Linked DNA regions of Arabidopsis thaliana. The protein of the gene in region 1 interacts with the protein of each later gene in a pairwise test. Each region holds a gene or a part of one and is shown in the gene's direction. Other genes may lie near its edges. The genes, in order: KUP10, AT5G63710 and AT2G30020.

Evidence for each region.
Region 2: the proteins of KUP10 (region 1) and AT5G63710 interact in a protein complementation assay, tested with the Arabidopsis thaliana proteins (one large-scale study listed by BioGRID).
Region 3: the proteins of KUP10 (region 1) and AT2G30020 interact in a protein complementation assay, tested with the Arabidopsis thaliana proteins (one large-scale study listed by BioGRID).

Annotation. Positions count from the first base shown.
Region 1 is NC_003070.9:11,100,976-11,112,042, reverse strand, and holds KUP10 (K+ uptake permease 10), read left to right. Parts: upstream 1-3,947; 5' UTR 3,948-4,681; coding exon 4,682-4,828; intron 4,829-4,982; coding exon 4,983-5,208; intron 5,209-5,288; coding exon 5,289-5,534; intron 5,535-5,622; coding exon 5,623-5,673; intron 5,674-5,767; coding exon 5,768-6,028; intron 6,029-6,110; coding exon 6,111-6,278; intron 6,279-6,376; coding exon 6,377-7,668; 3' UTR 7,669-7,806; downstream 7,807-11,067. Other genes in the region: AT1G31095 (lactate/malate dehydrogenase, NAD-binding domain protein), read right to left, coding at 8,399-8,419, 8,647-8,679, 8,781-8,831, 9,063-9,145, 9,253-9,265. UniProt on the Arabidopsis thaliana protein: Putative potassium transporter.
Region 2 is NC_003076.8:25,495,080-25,505,786, forward strand, and holds AT5G63710 (Leucine-rich repeat protein kinase family protein), read left to right. Parts: upstream 1-4,431; 5' UTR 4,432-4,824; coding exon 4,825-4,840; intron 4,841-4,853; exon of another isoform or gene 4,854-4,944; coding exon 4,945-5,091; intron 5,092-5,169; coding exon 5,170-5,299; intron 5,300-5,385; coding exon 5,386-5,457; intron 5,458-5,533; coding exon 5,534-5,677; intron 5,678-5,771; coding exon 5,772-5,837; intron 5,838-5,926; coding exon 5,927-5,997; intron 5,998-6,069; coding exon 6,070-6,213; intron 6,214-6,301; coding exon 6,302-6,643; intron 6,644-6,720; coding exon 6,721-7,115; intron 7,116-7,198; coding exon 7,199-7,519; 3' UTR 7,520-7,752; downstream 7,753-10,707. Other genes in the region: AT5G63700 (zinc ion binding / DNA binding protein), read right to left, coding at 1-944, 1,270-1,457, 1,629-1,708, 2,435-2,553.
Region 3 is NC_003071.7:12,810,617-12,819,856, forward strand, and holds AT2G30020 (Protein phosphatase 2C family protein), read left to right. Parts: upstream 1-3,654; 5' UTR 3,655-3,820; coding exon 3,821-4,324; intron 4,325-4,601; coding exon 4,602-5,288; 3' UTR 5,289-5,744; downstream 5,745-9,240. UniProt on the Arabidopsis thaliana protein: Protein phosphatase that negatively regulates defense respones. Inactivates MPK4 and MPK6 MAP kinases involved in stress and defense signaling.

The DNA of each region.
Region 1 (11,067 bases):
GTGCTACCGAGAATTTAAATTTTTAAATTTAAATCACAATAAATTTACGAAGAGTTTCCCACTTATGATATCCCTCGAGTTTGAAGCCAAATTTGAAAACATGTGTCAAATCTTCGATCTCCACTATGTTTGATAGCCGATAAATGATTCCGAATATGTTTATCAATCCACCCGACTAGCCGACTTGATGGATTCAGGGATGCACCATGTTTACGCTCATTGCACTCTCGCCAAATAGTATGAATTGAGACCTGCAGTAGACAACGAGCTAGAAAGCCTGCGATGCGATCGTGCCAGTTGTTTGAGACGACGTTAATGATGGTTTGCCAGTCCGTGGAATAGCTTGTGTTGTAGATGGTCGTTGTTAATGGTTCTCACATTTCCGTTGCATAGGAACATTCTGATATTGAAACATTCTGAAATTGTTTAAAAAAAAAAAAAAAAAACCAGTGATTCCATTTATCTTTGTTTTGATTCCATCCTTTCTCTTCACAGTTAGGTTCTTTATAGTAACTCCCAATAATGTGAATTCTGACTATTCTAACCAATCATCTCCTGAGCACCTTCAACAAGCAGTTCTCGAACTTACTTCCTAGTAGTGATTTTCTTTGTATTGATTTTGTTAGAGCATGTATATGGGTGATACTCATATAGTATCATAAGTATTTTTTTAGTATTATTTATAATATTTATTTATTATTTAAGAATTTTTATGATATTCCTACTAAATATGTTTGCATTGGTGAGACCAGTTAAGTATCAAAAAAAAATTACAAAATCAGAAATTAATATAGTAAAACATAAGATTACTAAAAAAAAAAATTTCTTCTGATTTGAGTGAAAATACTGACCAACCGTATGCTGTCACGTCACCTGATACTGAGTATCAAAGATATCAGTTCACTGATACAAATCAGGCCCAAATTCATAGTTTGATCAATTAAAATATGATTTTTGAGCTATTAATACCCAAAATAAATCACCCATGTACATGGTGATGTGGGTTGTCATCCATAGTTTCACTATTATAAGCTATAATGTATCTATAGCATGTAGTTTAAACTGATGTGGGTTGTCTATTCATAATGAATACTATTTTTGGACAAGCATGATAGCACACTTAATTAGTCTCAACTCGAATCTTAACTCTTAATAAATCCCTTTACACCAAAATGCCTAGAAAGCTAATGCATGTCCCTGATATAGCTGATACTAGTAAAGTAGTACTTGGAGTCTTCTTGCAAAATTGAAGAGATGGAGAGCTGTTCTAGATAGAAACTTTTTTTTTACCGTACCATAGGTTTATCAGCGAGCGGCCCCAAACACAACGAATAATTATTGAACAAGGACCTAAAACTTTGATAAAAGACAAACTTATTAAAGATGTGCACTTAATTAGTTCACAAGCTCCTTTTGTATGGAGTTCAAATATGACCTCAAAGTGGTGCCCGCGAAAAGAAAATAGGGGTTTTGGTCGTTTGGTTTCAAAACTATATCTTATTTATTTGTTTGCCGTTTGCCTCTTTGCTTCATAACTCGTGATGCACGTGTGCCGTATCAGTAACAATACCAACACGTCATGGGAGTTTGAAACTTGGATTAACCTTCTAGATACCCAAATATTATTTTCTTATTTGCAAAAGTAATGTGGTGATAAAATCATGAATAAATAGCTGTTACTTTGGTCTATGTTTAATAAAAGAGTTGAGTGATATGATATAAAATAATGGGAGAAAATAATGATATTATGATATTCCAGAACCAAAAGGTGTATTTTTTGTTGTTGTAATTAAACATCATTTATTATCTATGTTGTTGTAATTAGCCAATTAACGAAATATAATAATAAATAATGATAAAAATTGGACCAGCTTTGTTTTTTTTCATATTTGTTTTTCTTTTCCGGGCAAGGACCACTTATGGTTACCGTATCAGCTGTCTTGTATGTCTCATTCTGTCAATTTTAGGTTACAAACACGTGCATGTACATATCGTAGTAACATATGAGTCCATACAATTCTAGTTTCTTTTTTTTTTAAAAGACTTCGAGGTTGATCATCAGAGTAGGCAAGATTTTTTTTTATGATACACACTTTGTCACAGTCCATGGTCACTTTGAAACTTTTAATTCGAAAAGAAAAGTTTGTTGCATCATGCAAGGGAAGCGAAAAAAAATCTTCTCTCGCTTCAATACCAGATTGAGAAAATGGATCGAAAATTTAGTTTTTAATTAACCGTCTTTTATGCATCTATGTTTTTATTCTTCTTTGCCATAGATCCATATGTATAGATTTCAAATTTTATGTTTGTAACCTAAATTTTGTTCATTTTCAATGAAATATTTACAATTTAACAAAAACAAATTCGAAAAATACAAAGCATCAACTTAAAATTCATAGGCAAAAGGCTTTTTTTTTTTTTTTTTTCAAAAGACTGTCTTGTTATTATGAAAATGTCATTTAAATAATTTTGAATGCTAGCTTTTAGCTATCTAACCTAGTGGTAGCTAGTAACCAAATGGACATTAACTTAGCTTGTTTATCATAATTTATCTAAGATCGATCGAGAGTGTTATTAGACATTTCTTTGAAACATCGCAAAATGATAATTACGGCTATAGATTTTAAAGTTTCTTATGTATTTCAAGTTCTAATCATAGATAAAGAAATTTAAAACAGTTTTAATCGTATCTTTTAATTCACACATGCACATATACATGAAAAGTAAATAACTTAATTGGAAACATTTTTTTTTTGATAAATGTATCGTAATTTTAATTTGGTTATCTTACCTGTTACCAACATAAAATGAGGACACGTTATGATTTTTTTTTATTTTTTTTTTAATGATTTGTTTTAGTATATAAATATTTTGATTTTCATGGCCAAACATATAGCACAGTTCTTATTAGTTATTACGCGCAAGATAACACAATTATTTGTTTATCTTTAGCACATACTCGAAGTCGAAGATCCTCAACTGAGATCAAGTTTAGTCAAATATTTAAGAAGAAGCTATAAACATTACGTACTATTATAGACTTAAAAAAAATTCGTACATGATTACACCAATAAGTTAACTGCACATCCTCGATTTAAAGAATGTCATTTGATGATAAGATTTATCAGATAACGTGTCTTTTTAAAACACTAAAAAAAGAGAGAAAAAAATACTTGGGGTGTATGTATTGTTAAACAAGCATTATCTTGTTTGCGATTTATCTATTTCTGAACATCATTTTCTTTGAGTCAAATGTCTAATGTTTGAAGTTTGAACATATAAATACGTATTACAAGATGATACACAATATAATTAAGGAATAAATAAATTAAATTTTGATGAACTCTAATTTCCATTTTATTTTGGTTACCCAAAATGGTAAAGTACGAGACCACATGATAGAGATAGAACAGTGTACTTTGACCTTAATTATGCTTTTTTTTAAACGAAGTTAAAAAATCTCACAAGGTCAAAGCTGGAAAAATGAAGTTTTGTTCTTCAAAGAGAATTTACCTGGGCTTGAAGTCCTAGCGGCAAAGCCGGCAGCGAAGTTTTTGTCCAATTTATTTATTTATTCTAATAATTTATACTCCACATTATATATGTTAATAAAAATAACAACACAAATCAATTGTGTTTCTGTAATATTTTTAACAAATTAAAAATACAGTTACTATTCCTTTTTTTTATTCTTCCCTATTTCATCTATAGGAATATAAACTTGTAAATAATTTTTTGGTATTTTTATTTTTTGACAGCCTTGTATAGAAATTTAAATATACGTAAATAAATTAGGTAATGTCCCCAAAAGACAGAGACAGTTTTAGTATAATACAATTTCAATACAATGACATAAAGTTTAATTATATAATTTTTAAAAACGCTAATTATATTTTTAATTAAATCTCTCAATCCTCGTCGTTGTCGTAATCATATATCCCCTCCCCAGTTCTTCTTCCCTCTCTCTCTCTTTCACCATAACAAAAAAACTGATTTGTTTACTCTGTTAATCAGAGAACTTTCTCTGAGAAAATAACAGGAATTCAGTTAGTTCTTAGTTCCTATCAATCACCAGCTGAATAAATTCGTTTTTAAAAGAGAACGAAGAAATTCAAAAAACCCAATTCTGCTTTTTCCCGATAACTTCGATCGTCTTCGCTTGGGTTTTGTGTAATTTGAGTCTGTGAATTGAACCGAGCCCCACCAAAGTAAATGCTCCATAACGTTGAAAACATTTTCTTCTTTATACAAGAATTTCAAATTGTTTCACTTTCTCCATAGGGGTTTTTGGGGTTCTCTGTTTTTCTTTGACGAATTTTGATTTTGCAAATTCAGGAAAAAAGTTTAAACCTTTAATCGTTTGTTTAAAGGATCGATTTTTTAATTTCTTACTCAAATTGGGATGCAGTACATAAGTAGATGTTTGCCTTTTTGTGTAAACTTTGTGAATTTTCAATGTTTATTTCTCCTTTAGGGATTTGTAGGTTCTCTGTTAATTGAGAATTTCGAATCCACCAAATTGGAATTGAAACGTGGTGATTCCAAATTCGAGGTTATATTCAGGTTTTGGGTTAGGTGAAGATCTGGGTTTGAAGTTATAGAGGGGATTTAGGGTTCTGGGTTTATAGCAACAAAAGGGTTTTGTGTTTTAGAATCAAAGATAAGATTGAGAAAGTAAGAAATGGCGGGGAGAGTAGAATCATCCATTGGTGGTGGTGAGATTGATGAAGAAGGTGATGAGAGAGGTAGTATGTGGGATTTGGATCAGTCACTTGATCAACCTATGGATGAAGAAGCTGGTCGCCTCAGGAACATGTATAGAGAAAAGGTTTAATTATAATTCTTGATAAATCTTGGCTGTTTTAGTTGCTCTGTGATGCTAAACACTGAGTGTTGTGTTGTTGCTATAAGACTGTTGTAGAGACTTATATGGAAGATTTTGTAGTTTGGGGGATATAATGTAGTTTTCGGTTTTGGTGCAGAAATTCTCGGCGTTTTTGCTTCTGCAGCTTTCATTTCAGAGTCTTGGTGTTGTTTATGGAGATTTGGGAACTTCTCCTCTATATGTTTTCTATAATACATTTCCTCGAGGGATCAAAGACCCTGAAGATATCATTGGAGCTTTATCGCTAATCATATATTCCCTCACACTCATCCCTCTCCTCAAATATGTGTTCGTTGTATGCAAAGCAAACGATAATGGGCAAGGTAGTATTACATTTCACGGCTTCAGGGCTTTTGCTATGCGTATTGTTTTTTTGTTGAATTGTCTCTTGTTTGGTGAGTAGGTGGTACATTTGCTCTCTATTCTTTGCTCTGTAGACATGCAAAAGTTAGCACAATTCCGAACCAACACCGTACTGATGAAGAGCTTACTACTTATAGTCGTACTACATTTCATGAGCGTTCTTTTGCTGCAAAAACCAAGAGATGGTTAGAGAACGGTACCTCTAGGAAAAATGCGCTACTTATTCTCGTTCTTGTTGGTACGTGCATGGTGATAGGCGATGGAATCCTTACTCCCGCCATTTCGGGTAATGTATTATTCATTGACCTTCCAAATATATACATTTTGTTGTTTTTCTACCGGGATAGTATTTCATCGTGTTTAATCTGTTGCAGTTCTATCTGCTGCGGGTGGGCTCAGGGTAAACCTACCTCATATAAACAACGGTATTGATTATTACGTTAAATCATTCGTTTTACAGTGCCCATTTACGCTAGCGATGATAGTTGATCAATCTAGGTTTTTTGATTGTTGTTACAGGTATTGTTGTTGTTGTGGCTGTTGTGATATTAGTGAGCTTGTTTAGTGTACAACATTATGGAACAGACAGAGTCGGGTGGCTTTTCGCGCCCATTGTATTTCTCTGGTTTCTCTTTATTGCAAGTATCGGTATGTTCAATATATGGAAACATGACCCAAGCGTTTTGAAAGCGTTTTCCCCGGTTTATATATTTCGATATTTTAAAAGAGGAGGCCAAGATCGTTGGACCTCGCTTGGAGGCATTATGCTTAGTATCACAGGTAAAGAAACTGATCAAATGTTTATCGTTTTCTTCATCTTTTATGATATTCATATTTTCTTGTTATGTCCATCATATTTCAGGGATTGAAGCTCTCTTTGCGGATCTCTCTCATTTTCCAGTCTCAGCTGTGCAATTCGCTTTTACTGTAATTGTGTTTCCTTGCCTCCTTTTGGCTTATAGTGGACAAGCTGCATACCTTAGAAAGTACCCGCATCATGTCGAAGACGCGTTTTATCAATCCATTCCAAGTTTGTTATATATATCTCTTATCAATTTTCGTACTATCGATGGATGTCTCTGGACAAAGTTAGAGAAGAGTTTCTGTTTTTGTTTTTTGTTGTTGCAGAAAGAGTATATTGGCCAATGTTCATAATTGCAACTGCTGCTGCAATAGTTGCAAGCCAAGCTACAATATCCGCAACATTCTCGTTGATCAAGCAAGCTCTTGCTCATGGATGTTTCCCGAGAGTTAAAGTCGTGCATACTTCCCGGAAATTCCTTGGTCAGATTTACGTTCCAGACATCAATTGGATCCTCATGATCCTTTGCATAGCTGTCACTGCTGGATTCAAGAACCAGAACCAGATAGGAAATGCTTATGGGACTGCAGTTGTGATTGTCATGCTCGTGACAACGCTTCTCATGATGCTGATCATGATACTTGTTTGGCGATGCCATTGGGTTCTAGTCCTCTTATTTACTCTTCTATCCCTTGTTGTGGAATGCACTTACTTCTCGGCGGTGCTCTTCAAGGTTAACCAAGGTGGATGGGTTCCGCTGGTCATTGCGGCTGCGTTTCTTGTCATCATGTATGTTTGGCATTATGGAACCCTCAAGAGGTATGAGTTTGAAATGCATAGTAAAGTCTCCATGGCTTGGATTCTCGGACTCGGTCCTAGCCTTGGTCTTGTCCGTGTTCCTGGGATTGGCCTTGTTTACACCGAGCTAGCTAGTGGAGTCCCTCACATTTTCTCTCATTTCATCACAAACCTGCCGGCAACTCACTCTGTCGTGATCTTTGTCTGCGTCAAGAACCTTCCCGTATACACCGTTCCCCAGGAAGAACGGTTCCTTGTAAAAAGAATCGGACCCAAAAACTTTCACATGTTCCGCTGCGTTGCGAGGTACGGATACAGAGACTTGCACAAGAAAGATGACGACTTTGAGAAACGGCTCTTTGAAAGCCTCTTCCTTTTCCTCCGCCTCGAATCGATGATGGAAGGCTGCTCAGATTCCGAAGATTACAGCGTCTGCGGAAGCCAACAACGACAGTCCAGAGATGGGGTCAACGGGAATGGGAACGAGATTAGGAACGTGTCGACGTTTGATACATTTGATTCTATAGAGTCGGTTATAGCTCCCACTACAACAAAACGGACAAGTCACACAGTGACGGGGTCGAGCCAAATGAGCGGAGGAGGGGACGAAGTGGAGTTCATAAACGGGTGCAGAGACGCAGGAGTGGTGCATATAATGGGGAACACAGTGGTTCGAGCCAGGAGAGAGGCAAGGTTCTACAAGAGGATAGCCATTGATTATGTTTATGCGTTTCTTAGGAAGATTTGTAGAGAAAACAGTGCCATCTTCAATGTTCCTCAGGAGAGCCTTTTAAATGTTGGCCAGATTTTCTATGTGTAATATATCATGTAAAATGTTAGGCATGATTCATTTGATTATATCTTGTTTAAAGAAAATAATTGTGGTTAGTGACCATATAATATAATCACAAATCGAGTCAGATATTACAGATATAAATCACATGTTGTATTAGCCCCAAAAATCACAAATCGAGTTTTTCAAGTTGTGGATTACCAAAAATAAAAAAGTGGCCTATACAGGGATCGAACCTGTGACCTTCGCGTTATTAGCACGACGCTCTAACCAACTGAGCTAATAGGCCATATTTGTTAAATGATTAATACTTTATTTAGTTATTTAGTTGTACTCTACAAAATAAACTTTTTCTTCCAAGTTCTCTCACTTCTCACCATGTGACTGTAAGCATCTCCAATGGTGAGAGCCTCCTAGGGGACTCTCACCATTTTTTTAAGAATAAAATTTTAAAATTGAAGAGATGAGAACTTATGTTATTTTTTTTAGTTTTGTAAAGTCCAATGGTAGTCTCTCTTTGTAGAGTTCTCAGAAAATAAATTCTATTGATTTTGAAATCGAAATGTTGAAATGTTTGATGTTGAAATTGTTGTAATAGTGTGAAAAATTCTATTGATGTTGTTGTCAAACAACCAACTAGTGTAATAAAATCATGATATGGTCGGTCTATAGGGAGAGATTAGTTGCCATCTTTGCATATGATAATATCTGAGTTGAAATAATTTCATCTGCCTCACAAAGAACTAACTCAAGATTTTTAAACTTTGTTAAGATATGGCTGAAACATTGCAGAAAACAAACTGGAATATTGATATATGAATTCAAAGTCTCAAATTGAAAACCTGCAACTACCCAAAGTCTCAAATCATTGTTAAGAAAAAACTGTAACTCATCAAACACTTGCAACTCATGAAACCTACAACTCAACCTCCATCTTCACTATCTTTCAGTTATTGGAAAGAAGGTAGTGCTGCTTCGTATTCTTAAACCAAACCTTGCAGAAACCTGCAATTTCTCAAACCAAAACATGCAAATAACCTGCAATCTATAACTCAAAAAATTAAAAGCTGCAATTTTTCAAACCAAAACCTGCAACTTCTTCACACAAAGATAACCTGAAAACGAATAAGGCAAAGAACCATAAGTATTTGAGATGAAAGTCTATGTGAAACTCCTCTACACTTCTGTAGCTGCAGTATTAAACAACAGAAGCATAGATTTTTATCACACTAAACCATATAAAAACTAGCTAATCACTCCTTAATCGCAGTCTATAAACAAAAAAAGCACAGCTTTATTACACAAACCCCTAATTTAGATAGAAACTGACCTTTACATCTAGAGCATTAACATCGAGATGATCTGCGATTAAGAATCGGAACCAAGAAGATTAGTATACCAGATCCAAGAACTCGATTCACCTGAAAACCAGAGAGCTTCCAAGCAACGTAAGTCAAAACATCGATATGATTAGAAACAATGATCAAGATAGAATCAGGAGAAGCTTTAAACAATGAAGCCAAAACATAACGTTTATAAGAAATAAATCCTATATGGATTATCAATCTGACAGAACAAAAAAGAAGTAGATTCTTACCAATTACGATTTACGAGCTTCCTTCATCGATTACTCTCCAGAGGTCGATATGAATCTCCGATTTGCATCATCTCTCTCACTCCGATCGTGACATGCGGCTCTGCAAATGATGAATTCTGCCCAAACACTCAGTACTACCTTCAATCGTCGCCAGCAGCCTCAGTTGTGACCTCAATCACAGGAGAAATCAGAAGCAATCGGCATCGCATGTTTCAGCAAAGAACAGAGAGAGAGAGAGAAAGAGTTGGGGGAAACGAAATAATGTTTGGGTTCTTTTCACGCTTTTTTTTTTGCTTGTTTTGTTAAAACCAACTGACCAATGATAACGCACCACGTCATCGTCTCTCATCTCTCTCAAAAACTCTCTCAAGAGAGACAGCTCTCTCTCTTTTAATCCATTTTGATTTATTTTTCAACTCTTTTTTCAAGAGAACCAACAATGAGAACTCCATTTTGCATCCATTGGAGATGCTCTCATTAGACAATCTCTTCTCACAAGTCACAATGTTGAGATTCTTATCCTTTTTTTTTTAGTCTTGATTATGGATTCTGAATTTCTTATCTTTTTAATCAGAGAGGCTTTATAGACATGGTCTTAAGACTGTTCATTGTGAATTTTTTTTTGTAAGTCCAATATATGACTCCAATCTTAGTTAACGTCAAACGGATACAATCAAAGGTAAAAGATGACGATCAATTTTGCAAATTGTATATTAGTATTAGTGTACTACACTACCACTAAAGTGATTCTTATACGGTTGTAAATGAAATCATATATAGACAAATTATAATCTTATACGCTTGTTAGTGAAAATCATTTATAGAAGAAAAAACTTCAAATCTTCTTTTGATTGTATTTATTATTGGTATTGATTTACTTTTATACGTCACAGTAAAGCCACACAAGCTAATAATACCAGCTAATTTGATAACGTTCACGGTGCCTTGGAAAAAGATTGTCGATAGTCACTATACTCTAGTCTTCTACCTGGCCAAGGAAAAAAATATATTTAATGCATCTTTTTGACAACAACATCTAATAAATTTAATACATATAGACACGCATTGATTTTTTCACAACAATATTCAATTTAGCTATCACTCAGATTATATCAAACGAACAAAAAAATGAAATTCGCATTTTAATTTGCAAATAAAAAAGAACAACAAACGAACTTTATTAAAAATATACTAGAAAACTTCTAATTACAAAGTATGAACATAGACGCCAAAAGAAAAAAAATATATTCCCGTTGCTCTTTAACGTTCACAATTAACAAATTAATTTAACTTAGAACGGTTAAACTTGTGGGTTACACTTTAGAAAAAATGTTAACACAAACAATCGGGGATGTATTTAATCTATTGCACGCATGAGTCAAGAAGTACACATAGCAATACTAAGCGAAAGAGATTTGACTTAAAGACTATATTCGAAGTATAATCATCCCTAAGAAAAAGGCGGCCAACAATTGCCCCTCCGTCAACAGCAGCCGCGGTCTAGAGTCGCTGCCGCTGAGACAGATGTCATTGCTACTTCAAGCAAAGTGGATAGTGGTCAAGTGGAATGTATTTCTATTTGTTTCGACAGTTTTGCTGGCTCTAGTTATTTACTATTTGGCGTCACTTGTTCAGCCACTGCCTCTACCGCTGCAGCAAATTTCAAGCTTTTCAGCGTTTGTACCGCCGCTGATTGGAGTCAAACAAAGCTCTAACAATACTGATACCGTTTGTAACCTAACTTTATGATCTACACATTTATCATATTATTGGAAGCATGTTGTATATCAATCAAGTTGAAGTATATTATATATGTGTTTGCCTGAAAA
Region 2 (10,707 bases), on another chromosome or scaffold:
TCCCTAGGGCCATTCTTCACTTTCACAAAGCTTCCCACCACTTTGTCCACAAAGCTATCATTCTGCTTCAACAACTCTAAGACTAAGCTCTTACGTAGATAAACAAGCTTTAGATTATCTGCATTGATCGTGGCGAAACCAGTTGCTCGCATTTCAGGTTGCACTTCCTTCTCACAAATTTCGTCATCTGAACTTTCTGTTTTTTGCTTCTTGCACGGCATCATAACCTTATCATTCTTTTCACTGAATCGCTTTTCATTTTTTTCAATGAAGCCAAGTTCCAAAGGTGTGAAATACTCCACCTGATCAAGGTTTTCTTTCAGGTGAGTATTCAAAAGTGTATAAATCCTTTTCTGATTTATAGACTTTTTCCTGAAGATAGAGTACAGCTTCTCATCACAATGAACTTTCTTCTTCTTTTCACGGTCAAGCAGGTTTTTCTCACGAATGTACCTGCGGATAACTGACTCAACACTATGTTGTGACATTGCCTCTCTGGTGTCTTCCCCTATGGACGTTAGGAAATCAATGAGAGGCTTTGAACCCCATCTGATAAACTCCATTCTCTTGTTTTTGCCAACCTTTTTATAATCAACTGCATCTTCAACCGCATGGTCAGATACTAAAAATTTGGGATCATCTTTGTTCTTCAGCTTGACGCCTTTCTTTCCTGACTTTGAAGTGTGGGCATCACCAAGCGCAAATTTGGGATCATCTTTGTTCTTCAGCTTGTCGCCTTTCTTTTGTGACTTTGAAGTGTGGACATCACCAAGCGAAAATTTGGGATCATCTTTGTACTTTGACTTGACACCTTTCTTTTGTGGCTTTGAAGCGCAGACCTTGCGGACATCGTCAAAAGTTAGACCTTCTTGTTTTTTCGCAATTTCCCAATACTCAAGAAACAGACACTCAAATGTATTCCGATCTGTCAAGTCAAGCTTATCCTGCCAAACCAGTAAAGGAGTGTTAAGCAAACAAAAGTTTTAAGACAAGCTTGGGAGATAGACATATACAATAAGACATACCAAATGTGTAGTTGATTCATCCTTTTCCTAAGCCTAACCAAATTATCTAATTGAAACTTTTAGAGTTGTTTCACTCAGATTCATCCAATTTCATACTCACTTTTGTTTCAAATGGACATAAATCTCTTTAATACAGAGTTTACAAATCCTAAACACCTTAGTTATTTGCAATGGATGGAAACCAAAATTTCAAGGTTAGAGACTACTACTATCCAAAGTTGAGTAATAACAGTTTGAAACATACCCCAGCAGCATCATATTCTTGAATTTCTTCTAAAGCAAAGACATACTCCTGGCATTGATTGCATAACCCTTTATCCCCTTTAAGTTGAATAAACTCAGCATGAGTGACACAGCCTTCACATACAGCATGTGAGCAACAAAGGCAGCATAGCTTTGGTGTTTTCTTACACAAGTAGCAACTGTGCCACACTGAAAGTTGAAAAATTCACAATTAGCCCTTCTGACTACAAATATGAACCTTTATCTACACTCTACAGATACAGGGGTATATCTTACAATTCAAAGGAACCAAACTACTTCAAAATGATAATAACATTGCAATGAACATACAAATATATATAGAGAAACTTTAGCACTTACTACAGATATACGAGTCTCCATTCTTGCTTGCTGAGCTATCCTTTTCAACGCAACTTTCATGATAAACTTTTGGACAGTCTCTGAAACAAGCAAGCACAATGAGGTGCACAGTTAGATGCATACATTTAAACTAGACTAAATATCACAAGTGTACTGACAAACTGACAATACTTTAATATTCATCTTGACAATCTTTTCATAATGAAATTGTTAATTTTCATGCAAATCATACATTAACAATCTGCTGCAATTTAATAGAAGGAAAAAGTCAATGTTGCTACATTACCTAAGCTCCTAATTAATGAACTAAAGAAAAAAGAAACATCTTTATACCTTTAACTACAGAATAATACACAATGTCTCTCCTCAAGCGCATTCATATGAAAGAATCATCAAAAAAAACCAAAGCAGTAACATTTTTTATAGCTTCATCATTCAGAGGAAATGACTTCTTTTGGCATAAATCACTGCCTCCAAACGAAATCCCCTAATCGTCAATTTGAATAAACAAAAGTAACTTGATTGAAAAAGAAGTACTTTCCTAGTGAAGAACACAAAGTTTCCTGTTTCCACTTAGACAAACAAATCTATAAAAAAGAACCAATAAGACAACATACATGTTCACTCGGTACAATCCTACATTGAAATTGACAAATCCTCGTTATAATATAAGCAAAACCCAACAAAGACTAAAACACCCTTCATCATTAGAAATCAAGAACATGCAAAGAACAAGCAAACAAAAAAAACTAATCCTCTACCGAAGCAGCAGCAGCATTATGCTTAACTAAGTGAGAGAGACTCACTTGAAGTCACAGAGCATTAGGTTTCCACCATCTTTACAGATAAAGCACCAATCCTCACACTCCTTCTCATCCTCCTCCTCATCATCCAAAATCTCCACTACATTCATATCTCTCGCCATCGCTCTCTCTCTCTCGATCCGATGTTACTTGGCGGTGACCTAGTTAGTGGCGACAGAGCAAGAAGAAGAAAAACTTATCTCTCTAATTCTGATATTAAGGCTGAAAATTAGCCAAATAAATAGCTGTTTGAGTGACCTGTGTCAGTATTACTAGATTCTTAAGGATTCGCTTTGACCAATCACCCAAACGCCAACCTCTACTTTCCTAAAGTCTCTATTATACCCCTATCGTATCCAGGACACGTGTCCATTAAACACAGTTTCATAGGGGTTATTTCGTAAATTGAATAAGTCTTGCGTTCAGATGGACCTTTTTTTTTTACTTAGCGATTGCGTTTTGTGACCGGGAAGTACAATGCTCGCAAGTACAAAAGATATCGAACCAAGTTTTGTCTTTACCTAAATTTTGGATTATAAGTGATATTTGTTGTTAAAATTAATTTACTAATTATAACATTTTTATGAACAAATCATTTACAAGTTATAAGATTTTAATAAGTAAGAAAAGTAATCTGGCATTTGGTTTCACAATGTTCAAATTTATCTTTCTTTCTTTTTTTTTTGCTCTGAAGGCTTTTTTCTCACTTACCTAAGTTCATTTTTTCCTGATAAAAATAGAAAATAAATTTGAGTTTGTTTTATTTGTGAATGTTGATGAAATTTAACTTTTGAAATATACGTTCTAGATTGAGATATGATCATCAGATCTTTTTGCAGATCGAACAAAAGTCTCAATAAGGTGAAGAATCGTATGACAACATATAAAGGGAGGAGCATAAGAACATGTCCAACTAATCAAGCATATTAGTATTGATATCATTATTCCGTATATATTCTTAGTCTCTTCTTCCTCACATTATGTTCTCTTTCTCTTTTCTTCACCTAATTTTCCTATTAAAAATATCTATCTTTTTTTCTCTTCTGCCTACATTTCTACATGATGTTTCAACATAGCTCTTAAGGGAAATAACCTAAAGTTTTCTAAACATTGATGTTTTACTACGTCTTTTTTGAAAGGCGGTAACTAAATTTGTTTTTTTTTTTGTTTTTTAAAAGGATATCAAAAGATCAATTACTTACCTTATAAATGTTAAAAATGTAAACTTCTCAATGTTTGAATTTATTTACTCAAAAACAGATAGTTAAATATATATATATATATATATAGTTATAGGTTATGTTAAAACTATTTTAGTTTGTATCATATCCTTTGATTTGAAGGTCAGAGAAGAAAGGAATATATACAAAAACGCCCTTTTGCATTGTCATCGTCCAGAATAGTGGAGTAATATAACACGAACAAGTGGAAGTGTGGAACCTTCTTACACATGCTTCTGTCTCTTCCTAAAGCATAAGCCATTTTCCCAAACATTATTAAGTTCTTAATTAAGTCATTGGTTTGTTTTCTATTACTAATTCGTTTAAATCATTCTTTATTACTTTATGTTTATTTTGGGCCATCTATATCCTTTTTTGTTAAAATTGATATCCTTTTTAGCCCCAATCACATCCCAAGTTACACACTTGCAAAAGAGATCTCACCCAAAATAAAGAAGCAAAAGAAGATGGAAAAATACACCTCCATTAAGAAATCAAAGATGTTTCAACTTAGTGGGATTCTCTTTCTCTCAAAGCAGCATTTCTTCATCTTCTTTTTACATCATAGAGATAAAAATATGAAAAATACCTTTTGTGGGTCCTTTATAAGCACTAACTTCTCTTTCTTTAGATGATTTTACATTATTGTTGCTTTTATTGGCTTCATTATTATACAAATCCTCCATTTCTCTCTTCAACCCCATGTTTTCGTTCTCTTCCGTTTAGAGTGTTTTCAGCTCCTCTATGGCTCACTCGGGTATTTAAAAGCTTTGTTTTACTTATACTTTAATGCCTATCTTTCTCCATTGTATATTAATTAGGTTTCTTGGTTTTTGTTGTTTATTTTACATAACTTTATTGTTTCTTTTAGTTTCGAGTTACAAAATATTTGGTACATATTTAGGTGAAACGGAGAGGTTTTTGATCATCAAAGCAAAGAGTCAAAGACAGAATTATAAATTTTGTTGTTCTTGATACTTATAAGCTTTCATTTTTCTTAATGTTTTCGGTTCAAATGAGCTCTGATAGAGGAGTTATGGATTGATCTGACAATGTTTCACATCAGAAAGCAATCAAAGCTGTTAGTTTTTAAGACATAATTAGACCCACAAATCGGTCTTTTCTTTTCTTTGCTTTCTTATGTTTAGTTAACATAGTTTGATCACACAAGTTATGTGTTTCTTGTATAGTAAGTTAACTTTCTCCATCGATTTGCTGCAATTTAGACTATAGATTCTGCAGCAGAAAAGAAAAGCTGTTTAAACTGAGATTGACTGATTTAATAAACTGCAGGGAACGGTGAAAGTTTCCATGATCCTCTTCGAGGATTCATTCAAAGAAATTGCTTTAGATGGAACAATCAGAAATTGATCTTACAATGTTTCATGGCCTTAGCTTTTGTGGGAATCACTTCGTCAACAACTCAACCAGATATCGAAGGTCTATATATAATTAGCCTTTGTTTATAAATCATTAATGATCTTGTAGTATTAACTCGCTTCTTGATTCATTTGCTAGGAGGAGCTCTGTTGCAGCTCAGAGATTCGCTTAATGATTCGAGCAATCGTCTAAAATGGACACGCGATTTTGTGAGCCCTTGCTATAGTTGGTCTTATGTTACCTGCAGAGGCCAGAGTGTTGTGGCTCTGTAAGTACTCTTAAAGATCACTTCTCAAGTTTTAGTTACCAAGATTTCTCATCATGTTGAAAAACTTGTTTTGTATCAATCTGTAGAAATCTTGCCTCGAGTGGATTCACAGGAACACTCTCTCCAGCTATTACAAAACTGAAGTTCTTGGTTACCTTGTAAGAGATCATAAACCAATTCCATTACAAGTTTCTTTTTAGGTTCCATTACTCATAGTAATTGTTCTTGATGCAGAGAGTTACAGAACAATAGTTTATCTGGTGCCTTACCAGATTCTCTTGGGAACATGGTTAATCTACAGACTTTAAACCTATCAGTGAATAGTTTCAGCGGATCGATACCAGCGAGCTGGAGTCAGCTCTCGAATCTAAAGCACTTGTAAGTCCACTCAAAAACTCTTTAGGAACAATCTTTGAAATGTGACTCTGTGAGAGCGTTTGGCTAAGATAAAACATTGAAATTTAATTCACAGGGATCTCTCATCCAATAATTTAACAGGAAGCATCCCAACACAATTCTTCTCAATCCCAACATTCGAGTAAAAAAAACTATTTTCCTCATGAATCTACCTAATTAGTCACAGTGACTTGTCAGTACTATAATCACGTTTTTGTGATTTTTCTGCAGTTTTTCAGGAACTCAGCTTATATGCGGTAAAAGTTTGAATCAGCCTTGTTCTTCAAGTTCTCGTCTTCCAGGTTCTTAATTATTTCTTCTTTCTCCAATTCACATACAAACAGAAAGACTTAACTTAGTATCTTTATGTTCAGTCACATCCTCCAAGAAAAAGCTGAGAGACATTACTTTGACTGCAAGTTGTGTTGCTTCTATAATCTTATTCCTTGGAGCAATGGTTATGTATCATCACCATCGCGTCCGCAGAACCAAATACGACATCTTTTTTGATGTAGCTGGTAAGAAGTTACATATACTTATAGTCAAACATCTCATTAGATCAATATGAACTCTTGAGCCAATATCCTTTTTCCTTAAAAAATGCAGGGGAAGATGACAGGAAGATTTCCTTTGGACAACTAAAACGATTCTCTTTACGTGAAATCCAGCTCGCAACAGATAGTTTCAACGAGAGCAATTTGATAGGACAAGGAGGATTTGGTAAAGTATACAGAGGTTTGCTTCCAGACAAAACAAAAGTTGCAGTGAAACGCCTTGCGGATTACTTCAGTCCTGGAGGAGAAGCTGCTTTCCAAAGAGAGATTCAGCTCATAAGCGTTGCGGTTCATAAAAATCTCTTACGCCTTATTGGCTTCTGCACAACTTCCTCTGAGAGAATCCTTGTTTATCCATACATGGAAAATCTTAGTGTTGCATATCGACTAAGAGGTATATATACTTAGCTTCTCTATCACTTAACCAAATAATAGATTCTATAATGTGTGTGTACATATGTGACATTGTAGATTTGAAAGCGGGAGAGGAAGGATTAGACTGGCCAACAAGGAAGCGTGTAGCTTTTGGTTCAGCTCACGGTTTAGAGTATCTACACGAACATTGTAACCCGAAGATCATACACCGCGATCTCAAGGCTGCAAACATACTTTTAGACAACAATTTTGAGCCAGTTCTTGGAGATTTCGGTTTAGCTAAGCTTGTGGACACATCTCTGACTCATGTCACAACTCAAGTCCGAGGCACAATGGGTCACATTGCGCCAGAGTATCTCTGCACAGGAAAATCATCTGAAAAAACCGATGTTTTTGGTTACGGTATAACGCTTCTTGAGCTTGTTACTGGTCAGCGCGCAATCGATTTTTCACGCTTGGAAGAAGAGGAAAATATTCTCTTGCTTGATCATGTAAGATTGACTTCTTTTACATGCTTTCTTCTATCTGAAAAGACTTGAAACTAATCTTAAGTTGTTGGATGTGTATGAAACAGATAAAGAAGTTGCTTAGAGAACAGAGACTTAGAGACATTGTTGATAGCAATTTGACTACATATGACTCCAAAGAAGTTGAAACAATCGTTCAAGTGGCTCTTCTCTGCACACAAGGCTCACCAGAAGATAGACCAGCGATGTCTGAAGTGGTCAAAATGCTTCAAGGGACTGGTGGTTTGGCTGAGAAATGGACTGAATGGGAACAACTTGAAGAAGTTAGGAACAAAGAAGCATTGTTGCTTCCGACTTTACCGGCTACTTGGGATGAAGAAGAAACCACCGTTGATCAAGAATCTATCCGATTATCGACAGCAAGATGAAGAAGAAACAGAGAGAGAAAGATATCTATGAAAACAAACTTGCATTACAGAAGATAAACTTAGAAAGTATTTTAAGCTGCTAATTGTATTGAACCAGGTGGGGAAAACGAAGCAAACACACAACGTTGATTTGTGTAATAGATGATATGATATACATAACTAGTTGTGTTTTGTATATATATGAATTTGGTTATTTTCGTATGATAATGATGATCATGGTTGTTATGGTGGCAGTGTTTGCTCTGTTTTTCTACATACGTCGTCGTTTCGTGTGTGTCCCGTAAAAATTATAAACTTCTGAATCCAGTCCTTGAAGTTTAGTTGGTTTTTCAATTTTACCTTCAACTTTTGTATTCTAACAATTTACCCCACTTGTGACATTGTTTATGGCTAATTTTACGTCGAGTATTCTTGTTTTTTTCTGCACGTCGAGTATTCTTGTTTCTAGATTGTAAATGATGTACTATCAAGAAAACTAATTGTCCAGTCTATGTATCTCATGAAATTATTAGACTAGTGATTTATTGGAAGGGATGATACAGTGACAGAACAAAACAAATCTAGATGTTTTTGTTGTAGTGACATGGATTCAGAGTGTAGATTCATAAGAACAGAACTTTCATGGATTAAGATTTATTCTTAAACTCTAGATCCTCTGGTATTAAAATACAGATTGTTAATTTTGGTGTTGTGTACTTTGGGTGCGTTAAATGAAGGATGAGGCAAGGAATGGGACCGGAGACAGACGTAAGCGGTCAGTGAAAAAGAGAACTCCTTTCTAACTTCCTCGTAAACCGGGCTGTTTTTCTCGGTTCTTGGTGCTTGGTTTCCGCTGACACCGACATGTCCGGTTCCCAGGTAACTTTCTTCTCCACCGTCCGATTCAACTATGAATGAACGTCCAGATCTTCGTTTTCCTTTTCTATCTCTTTGGTTTGTTATGACGTGTTCTTCGGTATTTCTCCTGAGCCTCTCAGACGTACCCTAAATAACAAACAACGGGTCCCCAAAAAAAAAATTTTATATGCAAAATTTTATTAAATACGCAATCAATAGGGAGACAATGTTACAAGCTATATGTATGCATATTTACTCCCTACAAAAAAAAATATGTATGCATATTTTACATGTTGAAAAAAAAAGAGTTATCATGTGAAAAAGTGGGATGATATTCAAAATATAGTAGATATATCAACCATGATTCATATTAGTATAGATAGATTTTGTTACTAGTATAAAACCTATAACATTGAAAAAAAACATTTCTAACCAGTATTAGTATTAGTATATACATGACTTGGTAAAAAAAAGAAATGTAAATCATACTACTTTAATTTATAACTAAAAAAAAGACAAAATTTAGTAAGTCGTTGAGGTGGAGCCAAAAGCAATAATAAGGTAATAATAAATCGAGAGGAAGGTACTTGTCTTGCATTCAATACCATTAGACATATTATATGCACATTTACCATTATGTATAATATTTTATTTATTTTAAATTGTGAATTAGACACTTATATTCAGAAAGGAAAAATGATCCTATAACTACAGCATGTAACTTTTGCAGTAGAAATCAATAATATTCGGTCTAGAAACTACAACAAAATTGTTCAAACTATGAATTTTCATTACTTCGTATATGGTACTAAAGACAAACACTCAATCCTTGATGTATATATTACAACATGTGTCTTTTGGAGACTTTTTCCTTCTGATAAAAGCTTTTGGAGACTTGACAGAGATTTTAAATAAGAGGAAGATTGCTGTTGGCCTCGGAAATGACTGAAATTAAATATACACAAGAAACAATTAAAGACAATTGTAGATATTTTCTTAAAAAGGAGATTGAATCTAGTCATGGAAATGGTTTGAACTTTGAATGTACTAACTCGAAGTATGTCGGATTTTACCACTCTCGAGTCTCGACTACACTGTAAAGTTCTATTTTAGGTAACCCTACACACACCATATAAAGACAATAACCAAAATTAACCAAAACCTATTAAACCAAAGTTACTAAATCGATGTAAAAAAATGCAGAAGAAAAATCTAGGGCTTAGATCTTTTGTCCTCTCTATAAATAGAAGAGACTACTTGGGTCTCTTTGCCCTGTCACATGCTTCCTTCTTCTTCTTCTTTTTTACTTACATAAAGTTGCTTACATTCTTGTCCTCTTCATCTTATTCTTCTTATAGTGAAGCGATTTAGGGTTTAGAGGAATGTTGTTTGGCTCGAGGTCATGGAGAGTAATTCGTTAACCCAACTCAAAACTCTAAATGATTCTCGGACCAGGCTTCATTCCCCTCAACCTATTTTATCGCATTTTTCAGAAAATCTTTTCACATTTTATATCACTTCTCAGTTCTCACCCCATTCAAAACCTATATATGTTTCAGAAGCTTTTTGGCCCATCTAGAGTATAACCATGTTACAGTGTTTTTTTTTTTTTTTGCTAAAACCATGTTACAGTGTTAATTCTTATATATAACCATTGACAAACTCTTTGAATAGCTAGAATTATGTTCCCTAGAATATAAACTATTTATTTCTTCTATCTTTCACTGTTTCCCCTTTTGATTTACTTTGAAACGTTTCTAATCTTTATTTGCACGCAGTAGCTGTTCTTTTTACTAAAAAAAAAAACACGAACAAAAGAAATCTGGATTGGATCTATGCATGCAAATCTTGTTTTTTATACACTTTCAGAGGCATTTTATTTACTGATTCTTTAGCGCTAATATTATTAACTTTGGAAACACAATCTGTTAAGGCATCTTGGAGGATATATAAATAAGATCGAGGGAGTAAATCTTGTAATTTGTGAATTGTTCCATTTTTCACATCTTTGAGTTCAGTGTATGATTTTTTGCAACCTTTAAATCAGTATATAAACCATAACCATTGACATATGATCATTTCATTTGTCTTCCATTTTAACTGAGGTGAAAAAGGAAGAGAAAAATAAGGGTTAAACCAAAGAACAAAAGAAATCTTTGCACGTGAATATGATGATATGGAATGGATGGCTTCTCCTCAATATTAAAAGTCTCGTCAAGTTGAAATGCTATTTACACATCTACACGTAATTGAAAAGGACCTTTTATTGAGGTTTTACATATTGTAAATTCACAGATTGTGATTGATTGTTATTTTCATGAAAGAAGCGAGATTGGACGTGATTTGCGAGT
Region 3 (9,240 bases), on another chromosome or scaffold:
AACCGCTACCGCCCGCAACCGCAAACGCTTGCGGGAAGGAGCTTTTGAAATCTGGCGATTTCGAGCGGTACAAAGCGATATCTAGCGGTTTCTATGATTAGTGCCAACCGCTAATAACCGCTACCACCTGCAAACGCAGCGTTTGCGGGTGACAGAGGGAGAACCAATCAAACCCTAAGTACTTTTTGCTCATACGGATCTTCCTAATTTAGATTCGAAAGAGAAACAAAATTTAATTTGAGAGATTATGGGCCATCCAGATGCAATACTATTGAATATTGATCTAATTAAAGGACGTCCAAGTTCTAAATGTTAGATGTCTTTATGAAATCTATTGTGCAGATGACATTATAGTTGCTAGAAAAAAACTACATTACGTTGCAATTTTTAAACTTACAAGAAAAAAGTAGATTGAAGACAATTTCAACGAGAAACAACAGACGACTGCATAAAAATCCTAATTAGGGAGTAGAAGAAACCTACTTTGCTTGATTAATCATTCCACTTGGTCAAAAAATATATACCCATACAACCAAGTCCAATTGTTCAAGTAGGAGGAGTCTTGTATGTGACTTAGTCTTCTGTTGAACATAAACAGCATTAAATCATAACTAATAATCATTACTATGACTGATTGACTGATAATTGTAATGATTTTCTAATTGTAAGTTATTTATGATTGCAATTTCTAAAGTATATTGCCTAACCCACGGAAATGCCATCACATGTCGAAAGTAATAGTTTTATTTTGGTCTCGCTTGTTTCTAACGGAGTTTATGTATATAGAGATATATATATGCCTATGATTATTCTCTACAAAAATGAAAATCACATTTCAATACTTTTTTAAAAATGTATTCTTAAAGAGAAGACGCAAAAAGTATTTAAGTGTACAGTGAACAAATAAGATTTTGTTTTAGTGGTGAAAGAGAAAAATTACACTATATTTCTAAATTAGTTTTTTTTCTTTCTTTTCGGTTTTTGAGGTCATTTAATCAGATAATTCGAAAATATTTAAATAACTTATGTACTAGGATAAAAAGCAAACATTTTTTTTTGGTATGAATTAGTAGTAGAGAATATTACGTGATTAGACACTTTTTTAAAAGTTTGTTCCTAATTAGGCACTTTAAATGGAGAAGTCACTTTAGATAAATTATTTTACTTATTTACCCTTTAACTACATTTTTTCCATCGGTCATTTCTTCTCTCTCCTTTTCCCATCTCTTCTCTATTTTTTTTTTTTCTCACTTTATCGAAGAAAAAAACATTTCCCAGAATATCTTCAATTCCAAATCTGCAATTAATCTCCAAATCCACTCTACGCGATGGCTTTCTTTTTTCTCTGGACTAATTAGAGAATATGAGGTCTTGGTTTCTTTAAGATTGTAATTTATTTTGCAATTTAAATATTTGTTTTGATATAAATTTGAGATTCAATTATCTAAGAAACATCTTCTTCTTCAACAATGGCGGCTTGATTTGATTTTTGCTCTCTCTCATGTGTCAAACTCGTTTCATCTATGTAGCATCGAGATTCCGGTTAATCGAATTTCCTGTTATTATGGACATGATATACAAAATGGATATAGAACAGTAAAAAGGTTTCCGAATGGATATATTTAAATGGACTCGTTATTATGGACACCAAACCATTGTTTGTTGATTTTTCTTTCGGTTTGCAGAGACCTCTACCTTCAAAACCTTATGGACATGGAACTTTGGTTTCTTTACAAAACACGGTTAATCGAATCTCCTGTTATTATTGACATGGTATATAGAATGAATATAGATAAGTAGAAAGGTTTTTGAATGGATATATTTAAATGGATTCGTTATTATGGACACCAAAACATTGTTTGTTGATTTTTCTTTCAGTTTGAAGAGACCTCCACTTCCAAGACCTTATGGACATGGAACTTTGGTTTCTTTACAAACCACGGTTAATCGAATCTCCTGTTATATGGACATGGTATATAGAATGAATATGAATCAGTAAAAGGTTTTCTGAATGGATATATTTAAATGGACTCGTTATTATGGACACCAAAAAATTGTTTGTTGATTTTTCTTACAATTTGCAGAGACCCCACCTCCAATACCTTATGGACATAGAACTTTTACCAAATTCCTGAGATAATCGAGATCAAATTGTTTAAGAAACTTCTCCAAAAGTTATGGAGACGTGGAGAGAGAGAGAGAGAGGCGCTACAAATCATGGAGAGAGAGAGAGAGAGATTTTATTTATTTTGGGTAAGGATCGTGGAAGAGGAATAACAAAAAAGAGAAATTAAGAATTAAAAACATAAATATTGAATTGAGGGTAAAAAAGTCTTTAAAAAAAAAGAATTAATAGAAAAAGTGTCTATTTCCTATAAACTGCCTCAAACGGAAAAACATTCTCTAAAAGTGCTTAATAGTGGAACATTAATCGCATGACAATATAATAAGACGTAAAATTTTTGGTCTTATCATATGCAAATACTTATTAATAAGGAAATTTTGGTCTTATAATATTGCAAAAACTGATTTTTCTTTGTTTACTATTCATCCCTATCACAATTCACAACATTAACAAAAACTTTCTAATGGATTTTTCTTCAACTCTAGAACATTGCAATTCCTTTTCAACTCTAGAATATCAAATACCGTTTAAAAGACAAAACTATCAGTTAATGATGTCACAAATTACTCAAAAAATTAACACTCTCTTAATAAGAAGAAGACTTGTATTTTAATAATAAGAAGACCTCGTGTGAAACGAGATCAATTACAACTTTATGTATTAGACTTTTTGACAAATTCACAACGGTCATCAAATGGAAACAAACAAAACGAAGGCTCCTCTTCAGGCTCTCAACGGTCACTTGCTTAGAAGCTGCGACTACGACAAGCAAAAATACTCATCCAATGAAAACGACGACGTATAGAACCTAACGGTCGTTTTAAATTCTTTAAGATTCTATTTTTCATTTAATTTAAAAAGGAGAAGAAAAAAAAAGTGAGTCATCAATGAAACACTTCTTTAACACAGATACGTTACCCACATGCCCAATTATTAGCATTCGTTTCCTTTTAGACGTGTTTTTGACTTCATTTGAAATGTCTGTTTTAACCTCACAGAGCAAACCCAATAAATCGCTTACTTCATCGTTTTAGCTATTTTAGACTGTGAATGACCGTTTTACCCTCCAACATTCTCTTTTGTACTATCTGCTGTGTTTTATTGAATTTTATTCTACGTTACAAAGGGCCTTTCTTCTTATTTGCAATACTCCTCTTTTTGTTTATGATAGTTCTAGTCTACTAGACATAATTTGTTTTTATTATTAAATTGACATAAAGTTACCAAAAATTGAATGATTCTTATTTTGGTTATGAAAAAATATTGGAATAAAAAATCTCATGGATATATACATTTTTCATTATTAAGAAAAAATGATATTTTCCTTTATTTTGCCAACAAAAAAAAACTGGTCAACAAGAGTAGGATTCAAGCTAATTTTGTTTTCCTCAAAATAATATCCATTTTGTAGAAAGTAAAAGGACAACATAAATAAAGGAAATGAAAGTTGTAAGGGCATAAATGTTATTTACAAAGTCAAAGAGACTGAAAAACTTTGAATAAAGCTCGATAAACACGGACTCTAATTCATTCAATATTCATTACCTTCTTCTTTCCTTTATATTTAAAAACCTTCTTCTTCTCTCTCTGTACATCGTCACAACAAAAAAAAAACAGAAGGAGAAGAAACAAAAACAATAATCTCAGCAAAAACAAATCTCTACTCATCGAAATCGAAATCAAAATATAGAAACGATGTCTTGCTCCGTCGCCGTATGTAATTCTCCGGTGTTTTCACCGTCGTCTTCTCTATTCTGCAACAAATCTTCGATTCTCTCGTCACCGCAAGAATCTCTTTCTCTAACGCTTTCTCATCGCAAACCTCAGACCTCTTCTCCTTCCTCTCCATCCACCACCGTTTCTTCTCCTAAATCTCCATTTCGTCTCCGTTTCCAGAAACCTCCGTCCGGATTCGCTCCTGGTCCATTATCTTTTGGATCTGAATCTGTTTCTGCATCCTCTCCTCCGGGAGGTGTTTTAAAGAGGAAACGACCTACAAGGCTTGATATACCGATTGGTGTTGCTGGATTTGTAGCTCCGATTTCTTCATCGGCCGCTGTGGCTGCGACGCCGAGAGAGGAGTGTAGAGAGGTTGAGAGAGAAGGTGATGGTTATTCTGTTTATTGTAAGAGAGGAAGAAGAGAAGCTATGGAGGATCGTTTCTCTGCTATCACCAATCTTCATGGAGATCGTAAACAGGTAATTTTAAATTTCAAATTCATTTTTCAGTTTTGGTTTAGAATTGAATTGAATTGGTGATTTTGATTCGATTGATTAGCAATTACAGCTCAAATTAGGGTTTATCATGTGAGATCTACATTGATTGGGTTAATAAGCTATCTAAAATTAGGGTTCTTTGGGGAAAATTGAAATTCTGAATAGAATTAGAAGTTTTACAGAATCATATGAAACAATTGTGTGCTTATTGATGAATCGTGTATTCTAAACGTTGTTTTGCTTTGTGATAATTTCTCAGGCGATTTTCGGAGTCTATGATGGTCATGGAGGAGTTAAAGCGGCTGAGTTTGCAGCTAAGAACTTAGATAAGAACATTGTAGAAGAAGTAGTTGGTAAGAGAGACGAGTCTGAGATAGCTGAAGCGGTGAAACATGGTTACTTGGCAACAGACGCGTCGTTTCTTAAGGAGGAAGACGTTAAGGGTGGTTCATGCTGTGTCACGGCTCTGGTTAACGAAGGGAACCTTGTTGTGTCTAACGCCGGTGACTGTCGTGCTGTTATGAGTGTAGGAGGTGTAGCTAAGGCTTTATCTTCTGATCACCGCCCGTCTAGAGACGATGAACGGAAAAGAATTGAAACCACGGGAGGATATGTTGATACGTTTCACGGTGTTTGGAGAATCCAGGGATCTTTAGCTGTGTCAAGAGGAATTGGAGATGCTCAACTTAAGAAATGGGTTATAGCTGAACCAGAGACAAAGATTTCGAGAATCGAGCATGACCATGAGTTTTTGATCTTGGCATCTGATGGTTTATGGGATAAAGTGAGTAACCAAGAAGCAGTAGACATTGCTCGTCCTCTCTGCTTAGGAACCGAGAAGCCATTGTTGTTAGCTGCCTGTAAGAAGCTTGTCGATTTATCTGCTTCACGAGGCTCGTCTGATGATATCAGTGTGATGTTGATCCCTTTACGCCAGTTCATATAGAAAAGAGAGGCATCTTAGAAGATTTTAGATATATGATAAACGTTAGAAATTTGGAGGTTTTATATGATTTAGTTCTTTTGTTTAACTTGATCCATTCATTTATTTATTCTTTCTAACTTAGTGAACAAAGCTAAACTCATTGTGGCTTATGATTACTTGTATGATTCGAGCATTGGCCGAAATTAATCTAATAATCGGTTCGTTATATATCTTGTCATATGTTTCAAGATCCTGCAAATTTCTCTACAGTACAATACCAACACAGTGCTTGGAAGAGATTGACTCAATCTGAATCAAAGATTCCTTGTTTTGATGAATTTCAATTCACAACTCCAACATACATGAAGTTCATATTGAGATGCAACGTGAAAGAAATCGACATGACAAGTGATCCTGGTCAAAGAGTCACACGGCCAATATTGTTTTAAAGTGGAACGAAGGTACAAGAGAAGTTGATCGAGAAAACAAGTTCAACCATAAAGAGAGTTTTCTTAGGAAAAAGGAGAAAAACAAACAAAGTCCTCAAGTTTGACAGGCTAACATAAACCATTGGGCCGGACACAAACCCGAATAGCCCAAAATATATTATTTGTTCACATGTGTAGTTTAATTAGTTTTGGTCTTGGATCTCAAATTCTCAATCTGTTTTCATGCAAACGTAAGATATGTTTTTATTTTGTCTACTAGTTAAAATCTCGTTAAATCTATTCATTTTCGTGTTTTTCACATTCAGTCTGGTTAGACATTGAGACCAATACAAACCACTTAGAATTTTGGCTGTGGTTGACATATATATCCTAACAATGTTGTTAATTGTGACAATGTTGACATGGATTAAGAACCATAATTTTCGATGAATTACATATTAACAAGAGTGAAATGATGTGCAAATTAAATTGAACATATACATTTTATGTACATATAAGAAACAAGCAAAAACAAATATGTGCGGTGATAATGATTACCGACATGGATAAGCCGATAAAAGGATAAGAAAAATAAAACAAAAGATTGAGTTTGTGAAAAGAGGAAGAAGACAATGGTCAAAGAAAGAACGTAAAAACAACACGTGAATTACAAACACATGTTTTTGTGTTGTAGGCGGAGAACACGTTGTTGTTTTTTGTCTTCCAATGGACCCCAAAAACGGCACGTTGTTCGGCTTTTTCTCTTTTGTTCTTGTTTTTGTTTCTCCAACTCTAATTTCTTTTCTTCTCGTATTTAACTTTACCAAACCAAATCTCCGGAAAATTAGCATTTCAGTCCCACACACATCATGTGTTCTACCGATTCAGTGTAACTAAACTTAATGTAACATAAGTTGTGTTAGTTCACTTAATTTAGCTTCCATCTATCAGTTTCATTTATTTCACTGTTTTTTTTTTCAAAAACAAATTTATGAATGAAAGCCTAACAAATAACACCATGACCTACATGATCCACATTGAGTTAATCCCTACAACCTAACTTTACCTGTATCTTTTCATATTTTAATTGTGAAAATCATGATTTTTAACTCTATTTTCATCTCATTACAAGTCAATGTCTATTTTATGTTATTTTACAAGTCAATTTCTATTTTATCTTTTGGGCAGTTTTTTTTTCCAAGAGGAATAAAGCTTGAAAAGAAGTAGTTGAATTAGACTTGTTAACAAACCCATAATAATTAACTAAATAAACAAAGAAAATATCAATAATACTATAAACCACACTCGCATGCAATTAAATATTCACGATGTAATTAAGACAGAGTTCGTCCACTACAACTGGCCATTGGTTGGCATTTACTATTCTTTCAAAGTTAGAATCGGTGTTTTGCGTGTGGTCCCTCGTTTTTTTTATTTAATACACTATAGTTTTTTTTTTTTTTTTGTCAAAATAAGAATCTATAGTTAAAGCCATTTACTTTGTTTGTAGCAATTTGTTTCGCGATGTAATTCGTAAATTAATGTTAGACACACAAAAAAATAGTCCATGAAATGGAAGCGAATCGTAGATACGTGCAAACAATTCACTCGCATTATTTGATTCGAAGCATTGGCCTTATCATTATGTCTTCAGCTCTAATCGACGATTTGAAAATTTAGTGCAAGAAGAAAATATAACCGATAATATAAAGCACCACATGTATTTGACTTTAATTGCTTAAACTATGGTATTCAAGTTAGATTGTTGTAATGATATATGCGGAAGAACCTTGGATCGAAATTTTGACACCTCTCATTTTGTTACTCGATTCGATTTAGAATGAAAAAGAAAGCTAAACGGATTCGGAGGAACACATGTAAAGGATTCACTTATCTCAATGTGAGACCGAGCTTATCTCGGCAAGATGATCGATGCAATCCACAATTTGGTTATCAGCGAGAGAGCTACACCAAGGAAAGTGCAAAACTGTTAACAGACTAATCATGATACTAATGAATTTGGAACAAAAGCTTGTTTCCAACGAATTTCTGACGTTTTTCATGGTTGACAATCGCTATGTTTTCATGTATTGCTCTATTTAATATGGTGTATTCCAAAAAAATTATATCTGTCAGTCTTTCAAATACTTAAGATTCTTTAACTCTCCTACAACTACAAGTCGAGTAACAACCTCACCAAAATTATGCAGTACAAGTATTAAATGAGAGCGTAATTTTTTCTGAGGGTTTTGGAAAAAATTAAAATCTATCAAAACTAAACAATTTGCTTACAACTTTTTCTATAAAAAAAAACACACACACAAAAAAAAAATTAAGACGACGAAAATTTTCAAATTAAATATTAACATGTGACGTGATAAAAGTTTGGTTAAAGTATATATTTGTTTTAACATTTAAACTGTAATACAATTCACATAACTTTTTTTTGTCAACAAAATATTTTTGGACCCTTGACCTATAATCTCATGCGGTCCGGAACTAGTCGGGAAAAACCGTTTACATAACATAGTGACAACCCATGCTGCCTCAACTATGCTTGCAATGCTTCGAAGTTCGGACATCCAGATATTGCTCGATTTGTATTGCTGCCACTTTTACTACCATTCGGATCTCTATCTTGGTGATACGAAGATCAAGTGTGCATGATCTTGAATCAATCCTATAAAAGAAAAGCTAAAGATGATGATGTTGTTAGAGGTTCTTCGGAGTTGCAATAACATAAGCATGTTGTATTGTCGGCCACCTTAATTTCGAGTTTTTTCTGCTTCGTCGTTGTCTTCTTCTCTCACGACACTTATCAACATAAACAGCAACTTATGTCTCTACTATGTTTTGATCCTTAGTACCCCAAAAATATTATTTTAAAGCAAATCAACATAATCTTAATCAAATGTCTCTCTTTTCATTATTCATAACATTTTTTTTAGTCTTTAAAACCACGCGCCTTAATGTCAAACAGTTTCTTGATTACCTTTCACTTTGATTTCTATAGATTTTTCTCTCTTTCCGAGTAAGTATATACTTACAACATGTCATACATATATAGAGTCAAATTCGATTAGAAAAGAACATTAAAGTTTAGTACCAATGAATGACATGTTGCACTTGCAATGTCTAATATGTTTTCCAAGTGGATTGTTTCGATCTGTAACTTGGTAATATGGTATGGGTCCTTTAAAATCTTTAAAATAATATCTTATTTTTTGGATTCTAATCTAAAGGATATCCATACAAGTGGTGGACCGTTAATATAGTACTTCACGTTCACGGAAGGGCAGAGATCTTCCCAGAAGCAAACAAATAAAATAATTTTTCGTAACATAAATATATATCTATCTTTATATGCGATAAGCTGCGGCGGATTTTTTTCATAAAGCGACGTATTTTTTATTAAGTAAATACCATAGGTAATTAGATGGCAAGTGTATCGAAGCAGGAAAAAGTATTTAATAATTTTAATAAATTAATTAATTACTAACTAGTGTTTTGTCAACTCATGAATTTAGTATTTGAAAATGATTATT